Linked DNA regions of Lepisosteus oculatus. The main gene of each other region encodes a partner of the protein of the gene in region 2 in a complex. Links are inferred from orthologs where the notes say so. Each region holds a gene or a part of one and is shown on either strand. Other genes may lie near its edges. The genes, in order: rilpl2, rab8a and rab3ip.

Region 1 (3,750 bases), on a different chromosome or scaffold from region 2:
CCAGGGCCCGCAGGTCCCACCAGCAGGGCGGGGAGGGAAAGGAAAAGACACGGTCAGCTCCTCGAAAACTCAACCACACCAGTGAGGCAGAGCTCCAGTGGGCGGGACGGGCGACGCCGATCCAGTCAGGGGCGAGAGTCCGTCCCCAGAGTCGGTTGCGTGCAGAAGGAAAGCAGCCAACCAGAGCATCAACCCCATAACGTGACCACACCCACGAACCGGGGAGACAGCAAGCAGGGGCGGGCTGGCTGGGCGCACAAAGGGTAAAGCAAGAGCCGACCCCTCAGCCCGGACTCGTACGGGCTGAGGGAAGAGCTGGGCGACTCGGAAAGGACCTCTTGCTCAGCATTGGGGGTCACTGGTGCACTTCCCATCGAGGTCAAACTCCAAAAGGGCGCAAACACTCGTTAGTTGAAAACAGAAGCGCGGCCAGAACTCAAAGGCAACACGACGAGCCCGGAGACAGAAGCACCAGGTACCTGGAAGCCACAAGCTGCACAGGCACACGCAGAAAACACATCCACCACCAAAGCCCACTCACGAGGAAGTCATGCATCACTATTCAATTATCTGAGGCAGTGAGTGCGCCAAAAATGCATTTCGCTGAATAAAACGGTGGCAGGAGTTTTACTTCAAGAGAAACCCCTATCTCGCAGTCCTGCCGTTACAATGCAGGAGGATGTCCACCTTTTATCGAGGCTCTTTTCAGAACCCGTTCTTCCAAAGCCTGCCACCTTGCGGGGGAAATAGACGAGACTGAAACAGGGTCATTTATATGGATGACCATCTACAAAAACAAAAACCGACGCTCTTCAAAAGAAAAAGAAGGGAACACTTACAGTTTCCGGATGGTGGTTTTCTCTTCTTTAGGCGTGGTGCAGGGCGCTGGGGGTACAGGCTGGAGATCCGCTTCAACTGCGGCTGGCTCGCTCTGAGGCAAAATCCCACTGCAGACATGACCACACCACGTTATTATCCCCATTCGGCGTCATCCCCTGTTTTCTTAGTTCAAATAAACCCTTTCCAAGAAGGACGCGGAGAGACACAGCGCATCTGACTACACCTCTTATAGAGCTGCAGCTGCTCTTGGGCCACCAGGAGCTGGGCTTTGAGCTGGTTCCGTTCCTGCAACACGTCCTTCAGCTCCTGCAAAGTGAACCGGGGCCGGTTCGGATCCTTGAGGTCCACTACCATCTTGTTCGAACCGATCGTCATCTGTAAAATACGAATCATTTCTCCGGATGAGACCCATCCAGAAAAGCCGCGTGTTAATTAGCACAAAATGGTGAAATCTAAAGTATTTCCAGTGGATAAGCATTACGAGGCACCGAATTTATTCTCCTCCCCCGAACAAAACCTTCTGTTGAAAGTAAACTGTAATTAGATTATTTTCTATATCCCATGTCCACATATGACCAGTCACGCTCTGTCAATATTAATATGAGTGTTGTGAAAGAATTGAGCTGTTCTGCTTGAGCAGTCTGGTTATAAGCAACGTTTTACAAATAGTATATATTTATAAAATGTGTTTTTGTTATTGAGAGAAACAGCTAAACGCAGAATTCAATGTCCAGAAATTGAACACGTCCACATGTGTGAAATTCTAAATTCCCGTAGAACATTAAGAGCTGCTCTCACAGTCGAAGGAGTTAGCTGTCATTCTGTTTCCCATTCATTTAATAACGGGTCACAAGTGCGACCCACATAAAACAAATCAGAACAGAATAAATCACTTTTCGACTCGTGCTTCACTAGAAAGCAGTACTTATTATTTTTAAAAAACGTAAATGTCAGAATTCATTATAGTTTTTTTTACTATATACCTTTATATGAAAGGTATACGTCAGAATATGTACTTCTCGAGGTATTATCTCGTGTAATTGTAAAAACTGGTACATAGAAAATTAAAAAAAAACACTCAAAAGTCAACTACTGTCCGCAACATTTCTCGGATTCATCTCACGGGACGTTTTGAAAAAAAGTTCAAATAAAAGGGGAAAGTTCTTCATTCTGGGTCAACAAGGAATAGCATCAGGTTTCTTAGTGCTCTTCAGTTGCGCATTGGATCGACCAGTTGTCGAGCTAGTGTAATACAAGGAAGAAGAAATGTCTCCTGTGCACACTGCAGACGAAGAGCTCACCGTCCCCTGTTCCGACCCCTCACTCAGACGCCGGTCCAGCTCGCTCTTCAGATTGTCCCGCTCCATTTTCAGCTCCTCCAGCGTCAGGTTGTGCCTGTTCACCAGGGCTTCAAACATCTCCAGGACCCGGACAATTTTGAACTGCAGCTCGGACACCTCTTCGCCGGCGCTGTTGATTTTGAGCAGGTCTCTCCCGATCACATAGGAGATGTCGTACACGTCCTCCACCGTCAGATCAAACGCGTCTTTCTCGAAAGCCAGAGCAGGGGTCGTGTCCAGCCCCTCCATAGCTACTGCTGCAGGAGCTGCCGCCCGCGGTGGTGTGTTTTTATGTTCAACAAAGTGTCTCTGTAAAAGCTGAAACGTCTCCTTCACGCTTTGAAGTCAGCTCAGATCCGTCTGATGGTTAGTTTTCGCTGTTGTTTGCTCGCAGTGCGAGAGGGTCCCTGGTCATCGCACAACCTCTTTGAACTTCCTTCTTTTGGAAACTTTGGGCAACTTGCCACAGTCCCTCCTTGACTGACGCGGCCTTGGGCCAATTGTACTCGCAGAAAGTGAAACCCCTTTCGGCGATGTCTGTATATATCTCAGGAGGCAACGCTTCTCCTAGTGACAGGTGAAGCCAAGCGAGCAAGTCAGGTGAAACGCAGCATGTGATACTTTATAAGCGTATGACGGAGTTTCCAGATCATTTTTGTTCCGCTACTGTGTGTGAATTTGGTTACAGCGATACTTTTTATCACGTAATAAAGATTGTGAACAAAATAAAAATACCCCATTGCTGTGAAGACAATCTATATTTAACCTTTTTTTTTAATCGAGATGAATTAACCGATTTACTGTGATGCAAGCTGTAAACTCCAAAAAATAAATTCTTGATTTTATACGAATGCGAATGCAATGTTACCTTTTTCATTTCAAAACAAACAATACACTGTACAAAAATATCTTTAAAGGATACACAATGTAAACAGGTATGCAGTAAACCATTCATCGTAATCCATTCACTGGAAGAGTACATTAAAGTGCACAAAGGCATTGCAATAATAGGATAAATCATGGGCTCAGTAATTAAGTGGCTACACCCTTAAAACAGTTTCTATTCATTATTTGTGTTTAATTATTACAGCCAGGTTCTTATATTACAGAGAAAATCTCTGAAAACTGTGTAAGAGTCTTTGGTTAAGGTTTGTGTTAATATAGATGTGTTGAAAAAAACAGTCCTTTATTCTCAGTAAACGGAAAGGATTCTGATCGGGAACGGTTTCAACACGGAGTGTTTTTGAAGATGCACAAAGGTACAATTTAGTGAGATGATGCGTGCTGTCTAAAACCCTGCGGAGCTTTTTAGAACTGTTTGGAAAAGGACGTAATTGTAAGTCTTAAAAAATCTTGATTTCCCATACTGTCGTTTTAATTGAGCTTTCTTGATATTTTGAATTTAAGGTTAAGCTGTAAATAAATATGCAATATTGATGTTCAGCAACACTGGCGTTACAGTCGATTATGAGCGAGTTGCAAAACGCTGAATGTTTTTCAAAGTCGGCTTTCAAGAAAGTCGTTCAATGAATTGTAGTGTTCTGTGCTGTAGTCCATTTTTATTATTTCC
Region 2 (3,750 bases):
CAAGACATCATCATGGAAGAACACGTGCTTGGAACAAGCATGCATTCCTTTCCAAAAGGTACTTTCAATGGGCAAAGACGGCGCTGTTGCCATACCTAATCTTAAGAAAGGCACGTTTTGGAACCGCCTGCCAGCAGATGCGATGTGATCGTTACTTAAAGCGATGAAAATGGTAATAACCCTTCAAGGGGTTTATTAGCATGACCAAAAGAGAAACACCAATCTAATGAACAAGTTTCCTCTGGGAATGGCACCTATTGCCTGAATGTGCTTGTACGAAAAACAAAACTCATAGGATTTAGGACTTGTATTCATAAACAGCATCACTGAATGCAAAAGGCAATCTTGGTGATCTCCCCAGGGCCATAAAGGAAGGCTAGACTTCATGTTTGATGTTGCTCAGGCCTTGAGATAGGAAGGAAGTCCACATCGCAGTCACTCACACCTACAAATATACATCAGTTCTCGAAAGCGGCTTGCAGGGATGACAGCAGATAATACCAAACCAAACTCGGTCATCGTCAAGGTTTTCCGAAGACAGCCTGCTCTAGTTTCCTCCTGTCCAGCAGTATCTAGGCCTCTTCTACTTAACTTTCTCCGGAAAGATGTTTTACTTTGGCCCTGGTTCCTTCCTGCGCTGAGAGGAAGAGGACTTTGTTTCAGTCTTGTACACAATCAGGTGAGCCTACCAGGCTCTGAATAAACCCGGGAAGATAAAAGCTGGGTGTGCCGAGGTCAGGAGGAGGATATCGCAGCAGAGCCTTGTGTTGCTCTGTTGTGTTGCTGGGCAACATCCTCTCAGTCAGAGGGCTGTCGCTGAGCATCAGTCCCTTTGGCTAAATGAGAAACAAAAGTATGACAGAACTTTTGATGCAACAGCTTTTTGAGGGAACTGACAAGCCTTTCTCAAATTAGAATACGCATAAACTGCCTCATTGTACCAAGCCCAAGGGGACTACACTGGCCTTCAACTAAGCACAACACATCTGAGGAGAAGGAAAGTGTAAATAGTTTGAAATAAAAAAAACTAAATTGCTGAGCATACACAACAGCTCTAAACTCACTAGAGGCGCATGTAGTCCATTTTCTAATTGTTCAGATCTCTGGGGGTAAAGATGTGACCCCTCTGTTCTTGGTCTTAAAAATACAGTCAGCAGGGAGGTAGAAATGAAAAAACAGAACCCCTCCACCCCTTTTAATCCATCTCCAGTGTACTCCAGCACACCAGAAAAGAAACTTGTTAAATATTGAATAACCACATTTTCTGATCTTGTAGAAAAAGTAGCGATGCATCAACATCTTGTTTTTCCAGAGACGCAACAATTAAGAACATAAAAAAGGTTCCCTTAGACAGTCAGCAGCTAATTCATCCAAGCATCTCATCCAGCTGTTCCTTGAAAGCAGCCAGGCTACTGGCTTCAACCACAGTGTGTGCTCCACACTCCCACAACCCTTGTGGTAAAGATGTGCCTCTTGTTCTTGTTTTTAAACGAACTGCCACGTAGATTCCCACTCGTATCCCGCGTTTCGAGTTTCACGGTTCATTCTGAAGAAACTGACAGTCAGTGCCCTTGGGGGGGTTTGAATACGTGTATGAGGTTCCTTCGGAGTCTCCTCCGTTCGACACTAACAAGATCCATCTCCTTTTTAGGAAGCTATAAAAACAGCGAAGTGAGCTCGGGGGGATGATGCTATTTCAACTCTCCTACATGCATTTATTTTGTAACAGCTCCACGGCAGCCAGACGAGGACCCAGATACTGTCCATGTCGTATCACAGACGTCCAGGCAGAAAGTACTTGACAAAGCCCGGAGGCGAGATAAGAATTAACCCCCAAAGAAGTTGCGTTTCCGCAGCCTGCAGTCTGCCGGGCCGCCACCGGGCGATAAAAAATGAAACCGGATAGACACTTCACAATACTTCCTATAAAGTTAGCTCCAGCAAGTTTTTAGAGCGCTAACGTTTCGTTTTAAAAAAAAAAAACTGTGGGGTCTTACACAAACGAGCATGTGTTCAAACACTACGCGAAAAACGCGTCCCAATTTAGCCGAGGAAACTGCATAAATATATATTATAGTTCACAGCCTAAATACCACGGAGCCACCGCATAAGGAAATACCAAGACCTTTGTGCTCCATCATAACACGTATATCTACAAAACTATAACTGAACCAAGACCCTGCTGCTCACTACCTTACAATCAAGTGTCGCGTTGTAACGCACAGCGTGCAAGGGCACGCAGTACAACTTTTAGGATGTTTTTCTTTCATTTCATGCCCGACATGAGGTGTATTCTGCGGACTGGTATAGCTACAGGGCTGATTGCACTGGGGTTGTCTCAGCGCAGTAACATACAGCCAACCCCCCCTTTCCAATTTACCCGACCAGAGGAGCTCACCGCAAACGCCGACCTACCTATAGTGGAGATAAACGTTGAGTTAAAGGCATCCTCTGAAAATCTGAACAAAACGCAGGTCTTCCCAACTCCCGAATCCCCGATTAGCAGTAGTTTAAACAAGTAATCGTAAGTCTTCGCCATATTACTCGCGATTGCGGAAATCCCGCCCGGCACTCTGCGGGAGCTGCGTAAACGCCAATCCGGACAACCGCGGCTCCTGATTGACTAGGTGGCGCGTCACTCACAGGGAAGCCCCTCCCCGTCGTCGTGGCTCCGGAAGTCGGGGTTAGGCTGACGTCAATCAAGCCTAAGGGGAATTCTGATTGTGCAGCCGGGCTCCGGCTACGCCCACCCCCAGCTCCTTGAAGGAAAGTTAGGAGTGCAGGTTTTGAGGATGTGCTTAGGTACTGTGTTAGTATAGATCAAAGTGTTTCCACGGTCTGTGGCTGGGGGAGCTATTATGATGAAGACCCATTTCAAAATGCATCATGAAACTAAAAATCTTAAAAGTTTTAATGCATGCTACTGGTAATTATAAACGACGAGCCGCCAGTTCTGAAGAACACATCCACTGTCCCAAGATTGTTGATTTTACACAATTATACATTTGCTTTGTGTTTTGGGGAACCTGTGAATCTTTGGATGTTCATAAACCCTGATAGCGCTGACCAATTTGTAACATGCTTTTTTTTTTTGCTTAAACTCCTTCAGTGGCAGTTTTTAGAACGAGATACAATCTCGACATCAGATCTGCTTTTCTTCACACCTTTGCATAAGTTAAATACTACTGAATAATACCACAGCTAGGACTATCTGCCAGGACTTCCTCGTTTTGGGAATTGAAAAGCGACCAGAGTCCAAAGAGCTGTAAAAACGTGTAGATGCGCAGAGAGATTAAAAGTACAGCACGTAAATCACTTGAGCCCTATAGGCGAGCAGAAATGTATTCTGAATGCCGGTTGTCAGTGCAAGAACAGCTATACTGAGGAGAGGCGTTCTCCTGATTACAGTGCCCATACTGATATGAGCCACTGATACGAACCCCATTTCAAATCTCCTCCTGTAGTTTCTTGTCAGCTTAGCGCCTGTGGTATTTTGATGGGTCAATAAAATTAAACATCTAAACGATTGCTTAATACATTAAGAATATTATAATTGGATTTGAGGTGCAGGTTTTTTTTTCACGTAACAAAAGCATGGTTCCGTGAAAAGGACGCTTCTTGTACATTATAAAGTTTATATAAATTCTTGATTTTTAAAATGCTGTCGTTTGTTAGTTTATACAAGTAGCGCGATTTATGGATTACCCCGAGAGCGCTTTATTCAAGTTCATAGACGCAAGAAAATCTGAA
Region 3 (3,750 bases), on a different chromosome or scaffold from region 2:
TGCTCGAGGCAGTTGAAATGTAAAAGCAAGTGTTTGGGTTTCTGTTTGGCTCAGCTGACGGGTCCTTCAGTCTGGAGGCTGGCCCGTCACACCTTGGCTGTGTCACCTCTGGCTGGCTGTAGTGAAGAGCTCTGAGGTGAGGGAGCTGACTAGAATATTCTGATTCACTTCTGACCAGCTACAGATGGTGGAGTTTGGTAGTTTTGTGAGACTGAATTGTTGACGTTGGGGCCTGTGTCAGTCAGTATTCTGGTTCGGTGTATTTTCGTGTTATAAGACAGCAGCAGTCCTTGATTTACAAAAGGCCAAGGTTAATGATGCAGAATGTTTTGCTAGATTATCTCTCCCTATGCATGGTAATATGTCACGGATGTAGGAAAGGCAAGCCGTGGAATGACAAGGAGGGCGTAGCGGTGAAAGGGGCAACACAGAGGTTAGCCCAGACTCAGGGGGTCAGATGATATCGGAAAGAAATCTATGCCCTCAGGCCACAGACAGTAGCGACCTGGTGCTAGGCGGGTCTCAGGAAATCCGTACCCTCAATGCTGAGCAAGGAGTACAGCAGACACAGGAAGTAAATAGGCTACACAACAACAACAACAACACACGGGAAAAACATGAATAATCACAGGGAACTAGGAACAAGACAGAAGTAGAGCGCCCTCTGGATGCACTGGACGTGACAGGATTGTGGTAGGGGAGTTATACTGTAACAGGCGGCACTGTTGTACTGAAAAGACACTGCATTTATGTGTTATAAGTAGTGTATGAATATTCTTGAACAAATCACGCCTTTTTCTTTTGGCTAAAACAAAAGTTACTCTTGATAACGTTACAACGTCCTATTAGCTCAATTTACATTGTAGAGCTTTTTTTCTTTTGCTTTTTCTGTACAGTAATGGTGTGCGTCTCATGGCCAGGTCGCCACTTTAAACAAAGGATTATTCTCAACTGATTTATCTGGTTAAATAAAGGAATTTCTAGGGTTAGTTTAAATCGTGTTTCTGATCGACATGCAGCAGAAAGCACGATTATGTGTGTGCAACGCATCCATAAGGGTTATTATGAAAAAAAATAGAAATATAATTTCCTCAACAATGTAATTGTATTATTTTGTAAGAGAACCAGGAGGGTAAGCGCTTTCACAAGAATGTTTTCATTCATGAATGAAAAACGGCCGTTTCCACAACTGTATGTTAATTCAGATGCGAAGGATATTTGTTTTTCTTTTTTGCTCCAGTCCATGCATCCACTTATCGCATTAATCCACATACGGGGTTCATGTGCGGAGATATTATTATTTGACGTACAGTAGTTTGAAATTTCCACCATCAAATCACAGATGCGTGTGTACCATTTGTATTACGGTTGTGACCGGGTAGCTACGCCTGTGTAAACATAGGGCGGCCGCCGGGGCGCGCATGCGCGGTTTGCAGTCGTGTTCACACGCAGAAGAGGGAGCAGGTGTGCCTAGAGCTGATCTGGCTGTGAGCTGTCTTTCTCCATCCTTGTCTCAGAGAAGTTACCTGTCTCTCAATTGACCGTCTCTTTGAAGTGGACATTTTCCTGTCTGCAGGGAATTTTCTTCATTAGCTTTCCTAAGCCATAGGTAGGTAGCTGCTGAAATCATGATCCGATCCTGGCACAGTTGTGCAGGTAGCGAGCTTCGCCTGGTGTTGTGCTGTGCGATACTCTAGCAATCAAATGTTTACAGGCAGTGTGTTTTTAAAATAAAGGGGAGAAACCACATTACATGGATTGTTTCTGGACTTTTACGCGCTCGTAGTTTTTTTTTTGTCGCATTTTGAGATTCGTATCAGACGATTAAAGCCAGGATCTGTGTAGATTCCGAAGCGAATCAACCTCAGGAAACGCTTATTTGATTTAGCCTCAAGTTATTCCACGGGCGCCCATTAAACGTCGCGAATGACCATTTTTTCGGGATTTAGTTTTCTAGCGGGTCCCTGCAAAATGATGTAATTAGGGGTGAAGATTTCAGCCTTCACACCAGCCGGTCTCGGTGGACATCCTACCTGGACATGAAACGAACTGATACATAATGCTTTGTAAGAGGATTATTTCCCTTTAGTGGGATTTTAGAAAAAGGGCCGCACGATGCATTGTTGGTTTCAATCAAAAACAGACAAAAAAAAAAACCCAACAGCAGCCAAAGGCACGAAATTTGATTGTGCGTGCTGTTGATCTCCTTTGTAACAACGAAAAGGGGCAAGGCGTTTTTTTGTGCCTTTTTTATTTTCGGTACTGCAGTTTTTAAGACCAGGGCAACAGTTTCGCCCCCGGGTAATGTGTTAGTTGACAGAACAAAAATCCCTGATTATGGAAAAAATGGGGAACGTCTCTCGTCGAAAAACTCCGATCCCTACATTGAAAAATAAAACTTGCTGTTGACGTTTAATATGTGCATAATAGAGTAAGAGCACTGGATTATCTTGCCTGTTTTATAAAATCCATAATTTAACGAACGTTTCTGTTGCGAGTCTTATTTCCGTCCTGTATTCCTCATAGTTTGGTCTGAGATCGAAGAGCTTTATTTTATGCGAAAGGAATCGTGGTTTTTCTGTCACGCCTGTACTGTATAGGTAGACACGTGCGACAAGACAGGAGGTCCAAAAAATAATTGGTTAGACACGGGGACGCAATTTCGTATTTTGTGCTTCAGCTACTGTCGCTTAAAAGAATCTGGGGATGTTGAGCCAAAATACACTATTGGAATCAAGTTTGTTTCATATTCGAAGGCAATTTGACTGTTTTAGGTGCAATATCGAGTACATTTACATTCCTGTTGCCCTAGTGTGTTGAAACCAAACGATTACTAATCCTGCATGAGATGTCTGCGATTGACGTGCTTTAGTGGACATAATATGCTGACAGAAATAGTGAGGTAGCCTAGTCAAATCGAACAAAATTGGTGACGAAAACGCTTTGTGCAGATTAAACTCCTTTCAGTAACGGCATGTCATTTGTCAATCTGATTTTTTTTTTTGCCGAGGGAATTTTGCATGGATACATTTGAGTTTAGCTTAATTCTTAATATTTTAGTCAACGTTAAATATTAGGCAGATTGCACAAGCGTCTAAACCGCAGTTAATTGCGGAAAGAGTTGGAGCAGAAATAGCCAACAAAACAGGCATTCAGAAAGCATCAGGTTTTTGCGTTTTTCCTTTTTTTCCCCCACTAGCAATGACAAGCTAGTGACAGGATAAAAACAGTGAGGCCCGTTTATAGTGTAACACTGGATACAAAGCCCTGAAATATGAGCGTGGTTAGTTGTGCAGTTAAACCAACAGAGGCAGGGGCTGTGCTAGCACTTTGTTTGTTTTAGACACAATAGGACACTCCTGAGAGGCACATTACAACGCAGAACTGTACTGTGTAAAACACCGTGCCCAAAATACTGAATTTCTCCGGTTTATATGTGTCTCGTCAGTCTCGTCATTCTCTTCAGAGTTGTTTATGGGAAAATACCGACGTTCAAATATCTGAACTATAAAGGGATATCCTTCTTGTCCCTATTTTCTTTTTTCTGCCCATTTGTGAGTGTGTCTGAATGGAATAAGTGTGGTCTGTACAAGAATTTCGTTTTCAGCTTTGGCAAAGGCACCAGGCGACACAGAATGCTTGCCAACATTTCTGCAATTTCAGGGAAAGGTGCTTGTCCTGTTCAGGACTTTACTGTTAATTTTAGAAAATGCTCACCACTCAAAGCCTCCCCGAGAATACAATCAAGAA

What was found.
Region 1: the proteins of rab8a (region 2) and rilpl2 are in contact, whole or in part, in a crystal structure (PDB 6SQ2), measured with the Homo sapiens proteins. The link is inferred for Lepisosteus oculatus from reciprocal best matches to the Homo sapiens genes RAB8A and RILPL2. Residues at the interface, in NP_005361.2 of Homo sapiens: Ile41, Gly42, Ile43, Asp44, Phe45, Lys46, Ile47, Lys58, Trp62, Phe70, Ile73, Tyr77; in NP_659495.1 of Homo sapiens: Leu135, Leu138, Arg139, Leu142, Gln143, Arg145, Asn146, Lys149, Ser150, Leu153, Glu157.
Region 3: the proteins of rab8a (region 2) and rab3ip are in contact, whole or in part, in a crystal structure (PDB 4LHX), measured with the Homo sapiens proteins. The link is inferred for Lepisosteus oculatus from reciprocal best matches to the Homo sapiens genes RAB8A and RAB3IP. Residues at the interface, in NP_005361.2 of Homo sapiens: Lys10, Phe33, Ser35, Thr36, Phe37, Ile43, Asp44, Phe45, Lys46, Ile47, Trp62, Ile73, Ala76, Tyr77, Arg79, Gly80; in NP_783322.1 of Homo sapiens: Ser199, Arg202, Asp203, Gly206, Leu209, Glu210, Thr213, Ala214, Phe217, Glu218, Ala220, His221, Val224, Asn228.

The regions. Positions count from the first base shown.
Region 1 is NC_090717.1:7,609,790-7,613,539, forward strand, and holds the start of rilpl2 (RILP-like protein 2), read right to left. Parts: upstream 2,750-3,750; 5' UTR 2,430-2,749; coding exon 2,142-2,429; intron 1,216-2,141; coding exon 1,064-1,215; intron 948-1,063; coding exon 840-947; intron 1-839. UniProt on the Homo sapiens protein: Involved in cell shape and neuronal morphogenesis, positively regulating the establishment and maintenance of dendritic spines. Plays a role in cellular protein transport, including protein transport away from primary cilia.
Region 2 is NC_090724.1:5,175,545-5,179,294, forward strand, and holds the start of rab8a (ras-related protein Rab-8A), read right to left. Parts: upstream 2,582-3,750; 5' UTR 2,540-2,581; coding exon 2,416-2,539; intron 1-2,415. UniProt on the Homo sapiens protein: The small GTPases Rab are key regulators of intracellular membrane trafficking, from the formation of transport vesicles to their fusion with membranes.
Region 3 is NC_090702.1:23,324,772-23,328,521, reverse strand, and holds the start of rab3ip (rab-3A-interacting protein), read left to right. Parts: upstream 1-1,426; 5' UTR 1,427-1,609; intron 1,610-3,750. UniProt on the Homo sapiens protein: Guanine nucleotide exchange factor (GEF) which may activate RAB8A and RAB8B. Promotes the exchange of GDP to GTP, converting inactive GDP-bound Rab proteins into their active GTP-bound form.